Arabidopsis thaliana: one gene and its partner. The protein of the gene in region 1 interacts with the protein of each later gene in a biochemical or structural test. Each region holds a gene or a part of one and is shown on either strand. Other genes may lie near its edges.

Region 1 (4,899 bases):
ACAGACGTGGTGTGTGGCGAATGGTAAAACGACGAAGGAGAAGCTTCAGGAAGGTCTCGACTACGCTTGTGGCGAAGGAGGTGCTGATTGCCGTCCGATTCAACCGGGTGCCACGTGTTATAATCCTGAATCGTTAGAAGCTCACGCTTCCTACGCGTTCAACAGTTACTATCAGAAGAACGCACGTGGAGTTGGCACGTGTAATTTTGGTGGTGCAGCGTACGTGGTCTCGCAACCTCCTAGTAAGTACCCTATCTTTCCTCTCCAAAATTTTATTTTGATTAGTAAGTATTTTGCATATACAGTATAGTTATTTTCACGTTCTTAATAGTTGGAAGATGGTTAGATAATAATTATGGGAGTTGGGATGGTTTAACAACAAATGTTATTTTTTTGGGCTTCACTTACGTATACAGATTTATAATTAAATTGTGACGTATAGACGGAAACGTAAACTAAATTAATTATTTTTTGTTGGTTATGTGTTTGTAGAGTATGGGAAATGCGAGTTTCCAACAGGGCATTGAAATGGATATAGAGAAGAAGAGGATCGTGCGGATTTATTTACGTTATTTATTTTGATACATTGTTCTTTTGTCATTCGAGTATATGATTTGCGTATATTTATTTTTATTATTGTATATTTGGTTGGTTTCATCGGATAAATAGTCAGATTTTCTTTCCCCCTTAAGCCTTAACTTCTTTGCTCGTGAGTTTATAAAACTGACAAAACTTTGTTGATATAAACCATTATATCCTGCAACTGATCCAATAAACAACATTGCAATATTATTTTCAAAATCTCAAATTGATTCGTTTTGCTGGTGATCAACTGATCATGATCCAAGCAAAACTCAACAGTATATATTGTCCATATTGTTTCATTCCAATACTCCAGAGTCAAAACCTTGAGCTGCCTACTTCATCAAACTTGATTAGCGCCTACCATCAATTGAGCTACGACTACACTACCAACTCCCATATAGAAGCCTGTAACTCGAAAAATGGGTTTTGAGTTATAGTTTGTCACAAAGCTCTGTGAATACATTATACTACATGAAAACTCATCAAGTCTTTTGATATGGAATCTTCAGAACCAAGAATAGCTTTAATGCTTTTATAGTTGTGAAGTCTGTTATTATTCTATTACTGAATGTGTATTCTCCTCCAGAAATATCTAAGATCTTAGATGAGTCAGTTTAGACGTTTTAAATAGCAAGAATGTTCTGCTTTTTTATGTCATTTTAAAAAGCTTAAGGTTTTGGATTGTAAGCATCGTGTGGTTGCTAATCGAACTTCCTTCCCTTTGCATTATTGAGATAGTGTACTCGCAAAACACGGTGGCAATTTAACCAAAACATAGTACAAACACGGTTTCAAAATTTTAAAAACAAAACCATATACAGTACTTGATTACCATCCCAAGACTTACATATTCTTAGATGGACTATGAGTCTATGGCTTTTTCTTCAACTACTACCAACTTGAACTTCTCCTCCAAACCAATTAAGTGGGCTTTCAATTGGTCATGCCTTCTTTCCATATCACGAGTTTCTTCTAGCCAGCGGGAGTGATTTGATGGAAAGGTGGTCGCATTCGTGGAGTATGCTTTTGTAAGTCTTGATTGGAAAAGCTGTAAACAATGCTCTTTCTGAAATATTGAGGGCTAGCTTTGGATCGCGCCATCGCGGCTAACTCTTGGCAACACCAATGGCTTCCTTGTGTCTTCTTCCATCAAAGCGTGTTCCTTTCATTAATTACATTCTCTTTTGTGGCCTTCTATTATATTGTTGCGTAGTTTTCAGTCTTTTATTTCTCTTCGTTGTATCTCCGTGTTATGTAAAAAATCTAAAATTTCGTATAAAACTTTAAATTTTACCAAAAAAATAATTAAAAACAGACAAATTCTTTAGAAATAAAATCTAACACCTTTTATATTTTCTTCATAAACAATTGAACCAAAAAAAAAAACTCAAATCCAACTCCTCTCCCCTATAAAACTCTATCTTATTGATGATTTTGCTCAAAATGTAGTAGTAATAACAATGACGAGGCCTATGATGGATCAGGATTCAGGAGAGCATTTTGGGCCGGATCCGGATCCGGATCCGGATCTGAGCCTGGATCCAATTCTAGATTACCGGGTTTGAGTATCTGCGTCATTCCTAAGCTCACTATACTCTCTGTTTAAAAAAACCTATCTCTCTCTCTCTCTCTCGCCGCCTTCCTCTCACCCTCTTCGCATAGCTTCACTTTCGCCGATGGTAAAATTATCTCTCCTTCTTTGCGTTGATCTACTTATCTCTCGATCCTACTTTGAAATTCTTAGGGTTTAACATTATATTCGATCTCGCGTGATCTGTTGATTTTGTCTCATCGTTATTTTGACATAATTGTCAGGCTCTACCTAACCAGCAAACCGTGGATTACCCTAGCTTCAAGCTCGTTATCGTTGGCGATGGAGGCACAGGTACCCAATCCCTAGCTTCATCTTTCTTTTGTTTTAGAAATATATACAGAGAATTGATTTAGTTCTATTTCAGAAACTCGATTTTGGATCAAATTGCTTTGATATAGTTCAGTTTTGATTAGTATGCTGCTTTGACTTAGTTTGTCTGTCTAGAGCTTAGTATCTGTATGTATAAGTGATCTTGATCCGTCGTAGTTCAATTCTGAGATTGTTCCAAATTGTTTCAGTAGTTGGATGCATTTGGCTATGTTATCAAGTAACCTCTGATTAAATGTTGGTTTGGTTCACAGGGAAGACCACATTTGTAAAGAGACATCTTACTGGAGAGTTTGAGAAGAAGTATGAACGTAAGTACTCTCGCAAGCAAGCCCCATCCTGAAATATATCACTTGTCATTAACCTTTTTTATTCTCACAAAAGATTCTCATGTGTTCTTGTGTTTTTGCAGCCACTATTGGTGTTGAGGTTCATCCTCTTGATTTCTTCACTAACTGTGGCAAGATCCGTTTCTACTGTTGGGATACTGCTGGCCAAGAGAAATTTGGTGGTCTTAGGGATGGTTACTAGTAAGTACTTTCTTCTCATACAAATCACTTAAAACCGACCTTGTTAATAATCTAGAATCATCTACTGTCATGCTATAATCTAGAATCTTCTAGTGTTGGAAGCTTGGTTATGGTTTGAAGCTCAATAAGATGATTGTAGCTAGCAACATGAAAAACTATTGATAACTGTTGCAAATAGTTTGTGTTTGATACAATAATGTGTTCTGTTTTGTTGCAGCATCCATGGACAATGTGCTATCATCATGTTTGATGTCACAGCACGACTGACATACAAGAATGTTCCAACATGGCACCGTGATCTTTGCAGGTATGATGAACTCACTCACAGAAACTAGCATTTGTTGTATGTGGCAAATTGCTAAACAGAAAATGTCATCAAATTTCATGGTGCAGGGTTTGTGAAAACATCCCAATTGTTCTTTGTGGGAATAAAGTTGATGTGAAGAACAGGCAAGTCAAGGCCAAGCAGGTAACATTCCACAGGAAGAAGAACCTCCAGTATTACGAGATATCTGCCAAGAGCAACTACAACTTCGAGAAGCCATTCTTGTACCTTGCTAGAAAGCTCGCCGGGTAAGAAACAATTCATCAATTCAACCCTCATTGTAGTTATTGTGAAACAACGGAAAAATGAAAATTGAGATGTTGCTTGTTTGTCTCAGGGACGCTAATCTTCACTTTGTGGAATCACCTGCCCTTGCTCCCCCGGAAGTTCAAATCGACTTGGCTGCTCAGCAGCAGTAAGTTCTCTAAAACTAATTTTGTTTTAATTTGTTGCTAAGGTTTGAGTTCGAGGCTTTTCTTCAATTAACGATTATATATTTGTAGGCATGAGGCGGAGCTTGCAGCAGCAGCAAGTCAGCCACTTCCTGATGACGATGATGACACCTTCGAGTAGAGAAAGAGAGATGTGATCTGTCACTGATTACCCGTTAGGGCTTGTCTGAACTTTTTTTTGTTCATGGTGCTATTTTTATGTGTCCGTACTTTGAAATGAATCGATGACATTAGTAATTTTCATTTTTAAGTTTTTAACTGTCGCTATGAAAGTGAAAACCTTTTGATTACAAACCTTACATGCTTCACAATTTCAATTGTATCTCTATTAATCCTAGCCGCGCAATCTCATCAATTCTCCACACCCAACACACTTAATAGTTTTTTTTTACATCAATCATTTCGAAACCACAAGTTCTTAGATACTCAACAACATTTTTTTTTTTTTTTCTGTAGCCAATCGATGTTCTAAAGATCAAGAATGTTGTATTATTTCTACCACTTATGGAGTCACCAAGGATATGTGAAGGGTTTTCTTTGTTTATATATTTTTTTAATTGCGTTTTAGGACATCTCCAATAGAAGTATCTAAATGTAGATACTGATCTCTATCAAAACAGATTATGGATATCATACTAGAGTACATTAAAAATTTGCTTCTAAGATTTTGAGTTCTTGGAGTCATTAACGCATCGCTAAGGGTATTTTCGTAACTTTAAATAACCCCAAATAATATTTTGCTTCCTCCCCAAGAACCTTTTTGCCTCTTTCTACTTCCGTCGGCCGGATTCAGAGTCATAAATAAATATATAAAAAAAAGTTTCGATTTTTGCTTTTCTTCTTCGATTCATTGCGCGAATCATCCGTGATGTTGGTGTCTAGGGTTTTATCAAGAGTTTCTCGCAGCGCAGGCTTACGCTCGTCTTTCTCCTCCGTCGTTACTCCGAAGAGGAATCAGATTCCGATTGTTGCAAGCCGATTTCACTCCCTCGTTCACGGAACCCCCAACAAGGTTAGGCTTTTAAGCTGATTTTACTTGTAATTCGTTCTGGATTTTATCGTCGGGTTTATGCTAGGGTTTAAGGG
Region 2 (4,069 bases), on another chromosome or scaffold:
TCCGAAACCGAAATATGGATACGGGTTAACCATAAAAGGAGACTTGGTGCGGTTGTGGAAGTCTAGGATTGGAGAGAAGATGGCTTTGTCGTACCCTTTACGGAACTTTCCGGAGCTAGGTGGCTCGGAGGAGCCTGAGAGGATACCGAGCGAGTGAGGCGTCGAGACTAAGATCCTACTGACGTTAGCAAGGTGTAATGCTAACGTAAGCGTCTCCATAGCGGGAAGGAGATGAGTGATGAGGGTTTTGTCGGATGTGGCGACGACTTCGTTTCCGACAGCAATGTAACGGATTGAAGTTGTTAGGAGGAAGGGGAGGAGGTTGTCGGAGAGCCATGAACGTGCGTTGGAAAGCTTGGAAAGAGAAATGATATCGGAGTTTGGGACGGTGACGGTGAGGGAGATTCCTGTAATGCCGGAAAATGCGGCGAGGATGTCGTGGTTTGTGTCGAAGATTTTGACGTGGTTGATTATTGTTTTTGTTTTGATGAAGTTGACGACTTGGTGAGGCGGTGGGAGGTTGTTGGCCACGGTGCCGTAGTTTACGCCGACTTGATATGCAGCGGAGAAGGGAAGGATGAGAGTGAGAATTAGGAAGTAAAGTTGATGAACAACTCTAGATCCCAACATGATCGTGAATGAGTTTATTTTATGACTTCCACGTTTAGCAAAACTTACTAGGAGTTGTTTTTTGGGAGCATGATCGTGTTCGGTTTGATTGTGGAGACGTGAGCGAGTGGCTCCCAAAAAATCACTCACTCCTAGTAAGTTTTGCTAAACGTGGAAGTTTTGCTAAACGTGGAAGTTTTGCTACATAATGTAATAATCATAAATTAATAACATTTGATAATTGAAACCATTAATAAGGATGTAAATAGTTGCAAATTAATTGTATTTGGGGGTGATTGGGAAGGGACTCTCAGACCATCCTCATCGGACAAATTTAAAAGGTGTCTTCAAATTTTAACAGAATAAAAAAAATAGGAAGATGAGAATTAATGCGCTGAATAGGAGTGACATGATGACTTTAATGTCTGTGGAAAAACATTTTTTGATACGGGAAAACACGAATGTGTCACCATGCTATTGGTTGGTGTTATTGTTTTTTATTTTTTCTCTTCATTTGACCAACAATTTTCTCTCTGTTCATTTTATCAATAAATTTCTCTCTCTTCATTTGGCAGTTAAGACATCCAATATACTGATCACCGATGTGGATGCTCTCATAGCTTTAAAGGTGTTTTAAAGTCCTCACAGTTTTTATTTTAACAGTCATGCTTTCTTGACTTTATTTTTTTTTAAAGTTCTCAAAGCCTTGTTTTTATTTGTTCTTTGTTTCCTTTTTTTTTTTAAAGTCACGATTACATGGCTTTCAAACAAATAAATATTAAAACTTTTCTTTTTCTTCTCCCATGATAATTAAAAACTTTCTACAATTTTATATATATTTTTTCACAAATCATTTTTGATTAATTAATTATTATTAATTTTATATTTTCTTTTAAGATCCAATTTACTAATAAATAATTTATTTATTACATGTGCAGTTTATTTGTTGAGAATATTTATTTAAGAATATTTTTTGTATTTTAATTTTATATTATTAATAAAATATATTTGTGTCACTATGTTGAAACATAATTCAATTTTAACATAATTTTATTTACAAAAATATATTTAATAATAGTAAAAATAGTACTCAAGCTTTTACAACTTTATATTACCAATCAGAATTTAACATCTAAAATCTCAACAGTTAAGTCTCTACATCCAAATTTTCTATGGTAAAAGTTTTTAAAGCCAAAACATTTACCGTCATCCTTACCGATCGGCCCATAGTTGTTCAAATAATTTATATCAGTTACACACATTTCGATTTTGATTTCGGTTACAAATATTTTATCCACTCTAATTCACAACAAGAAATTAATTTACCTTAATGGGCCCAAAAGCCCAAAAACTGCAACGTGGCTAATTAAGCCATTCCTCGAGCTCAAACTTTAAAACAGAAACAAAACTTCTAACTTACAAATTGTACTTCTGTCTTTTACTCTGTCTGATTCAGTCAAAAAGAAAGGAATATTAAAATCTCTCAATTTTATATACACTCACTCAATCATACCTTTCTCTGGAGACCTCCACAGGGTTTGTTTCCGGAAATGTCGAACGGCACGGATCAGGCTCAACCACCACCGGAGAACCCGGCTACTCCGGTGGATTCGAAGTCACGGAAACGTGCGACGCCAGGGGATGATAATTGGCTTCCTCCTGATTGGAGAACCGAAATTAGGGTTCGAACCTCTGGCACTAAAGCTGGTACTGTTGATAAGGTGAAAAAATCTCAGCCCTTTCAATTCCTTCGCAGATAGAATCGTCCGTACAAATGGAAATGTTATGTTGTTTGTTGATTTGAATTGGAACTTTTTCTTAGTATTTATGAAATTGGGTATTGAAGTTAGGTTATGATGATCTTATTGGTTTATATTTTAAGGTATTTGGAGACTTTATAACTAGTCTTTAAGTGTAACGTTGCTGTATGTATGCTTGTTGGATGAAGATTGCTCTGTTTAGGATGTTGTAGGTGTGAATATGATAATGCAGTGCTTGATGATGTCTTGTATTTGTAATGTAGTTCTACTACGAACCGATTACGGGTCGTAAGTTCCGGTCCAAGAACGAGGTTTTGTACTATTTGGAACACGGGACGCCTAAAAAGAAGTCCGTCAAGACAGCGGAAAACGGAGACTCACATTCCGAAGTGAGTTTGTTAGTAGACATTACCTTAAGGTTTAAACCCGTGTTTTACCTGAACTGTTGTTGTTTTTGCACATTTTTGTAGCATTCTGAAGGTAGAGGAAGCGCTAGGCGGCAGACAAAATCCAACAAAAAGGTTACTGAGCCACCGCCAAAGCCGTTGAACTTCGATTTTCTGAATGTGCCGGAGAAGGTTACTTGGACTGGGATAAACGGTTCAGAAGAAGCTTGGTTGCCTTTCATTGGGGACTACAAGATTCAAGAATCTGTCAGCCAAGATTGGGACAGAGTATTCACTCTTGTCACCTCCCAAAACGCTGGAAAAACGATGTTCTAGAAGATTGCTGCAGAAACTCACAAATTGTAATAACACGCGCTGCTAGATTATCATATCTACTTAGTATTTACTGATCGTTGGTTGGAATGCAGGTTAATTTTTTAGTAGTGATAGTTTTAGTAACACTTTGATTTGAGTTGTAATGTACTTTCTTAACATTTTCTTAGATAATTTGAAGGCAATGTATGTCTATATTATTGCCTTTGAGAGAATCCGATAGTAACAAAGTTATGAAATCTAAAGTTCGATGTGCGGTACTTCTCTGCTCAGTTCTCTCTGCTTTAAATTGTGAATCATCAGTTATGCATAGGCTCTATCTATCTATGCTTCTCTGCCTTTGTCCTAAATGATATACGGAAGCATACTGACATAATTTGGAATAAGTTCAAGTTATAACAGAACAGTGTGAAAATATGAACCAAAGCGTCTGTAGTCCAACGGTTAGGATAATTGCCTTCCAAGCAATAGACCCGGGTTCGACTCCCGGCAGACGCATTTTTAAATTTTGACATTTTACGCTCGTTGTTTATGAACAGTAAATATTTTCTTTAGATCTTTGTTTAAGAATTTTTTTTCTTTCTAAAATGGCTAAGAACATTGTCGTCAAAGACTATAATTCTTTTCTGTCTTATGCAGTGGATAAAAAAGGGGTTCTTATCGCACTTTTCAGTTATCGTTTGTTTCCTATCAGAAAACAAAATGGGAAAAATTCTCCACCTCAAAATTCGAGGAATTCTAACGGCGTGGAGATGAATAATTACCAAAAGTAACATATACACCCCCGTCGAAAATAACGAGTTTTCAAAAAAGATATTTTCGGTTGATTTGTCGATAATCATCTGCACTACGCTGCGGTATATTTTCAGATTTTTTTATCGTTTAATTTAAATATAATTTTAATTATCTAATCATTCACTCATGTAATAAATAATTATTTTTATTATTAAAATATTTTTTTCAAACAACATTTTCAACAAT

What was found. Proteins that work in one complex are often made in the same cells at the same time.
Region 2: the proteins of RAN3 (region 1) and MBD5 form a complex in vitro, tested with the Arabidopsis thaliana proteins (one study listed by BioGRID).

What each region holds. Positions count from the first base shown.
Region 1 is NC_003076.8:22,390,024-22,394,922, forward strand, and holds RAN3 (RAN GTPase 3), read left to right. Parts: upstream 1-2,039; 5' UTR 2,040-2,261; coding exon 2,262-2,264; intron 2,265-2,400; coding exon 2,401-2,470; intron 2,471-2,760; coding exon 2,761-2,817; intron 2,818-2,918; coding exon 2,919-3,036; intron 3,037-3,253; coding exon 3,254-3,343; intron 3,344-3,429; coding exon 3,430-3,609; intron 3,610-3,698; coding exon 3,699-3,776; intron 3,777-3,864; coding exon 3,865-3,934; 3' UTR 3,935-4,162; downstream 4,163-4,899. Other genes in the region: AT5G55180 (O-Glycosyl hydrolases family 17 protein), read left to right, coding at 1-246, 493-538; MGE1 (Co-chaperone GrpE family protein), read left to right, coding at 4,682-4,825. UniProt on the Arabidopsis thaliana protein: GTP-binding protein involved in nucleocytoplasmic transport. Required for the import of protein into the nucleus and also for RNA export. Involved in chromatin condensation and control of cell cycle.
Region 2 is NC_003074.8:17,146,238-17,150,306, forward strand, and holds MBD5 (methyl-CPG-binding domain protein 5), read left to right. Parts: upstream 1-1,994; 5' UTR 1,995-2,159; coding exon 2,160-2,330; intron 2,331-2,632; coding exon 2,633-2,758; intron 2,759-2,839; coding exon 2,840-3,091; 3' UTR 3,092-3,360; downstream 3,361-4,069. Other genes in the region: AT3G46570 (Glycosyl hydrolase superfamily protein), read right to left, coding at 1-630. UniProt on the Arabidopsis thaliana protein: Transcriptional regulator that binds CpG islands in promoters where the DNA is methylated at position 5 of cytosine within CpG dinucleotides. In addition, binds specifically methylated m(5)CpNpN but not m(5)CpNpG (N is A, T or C).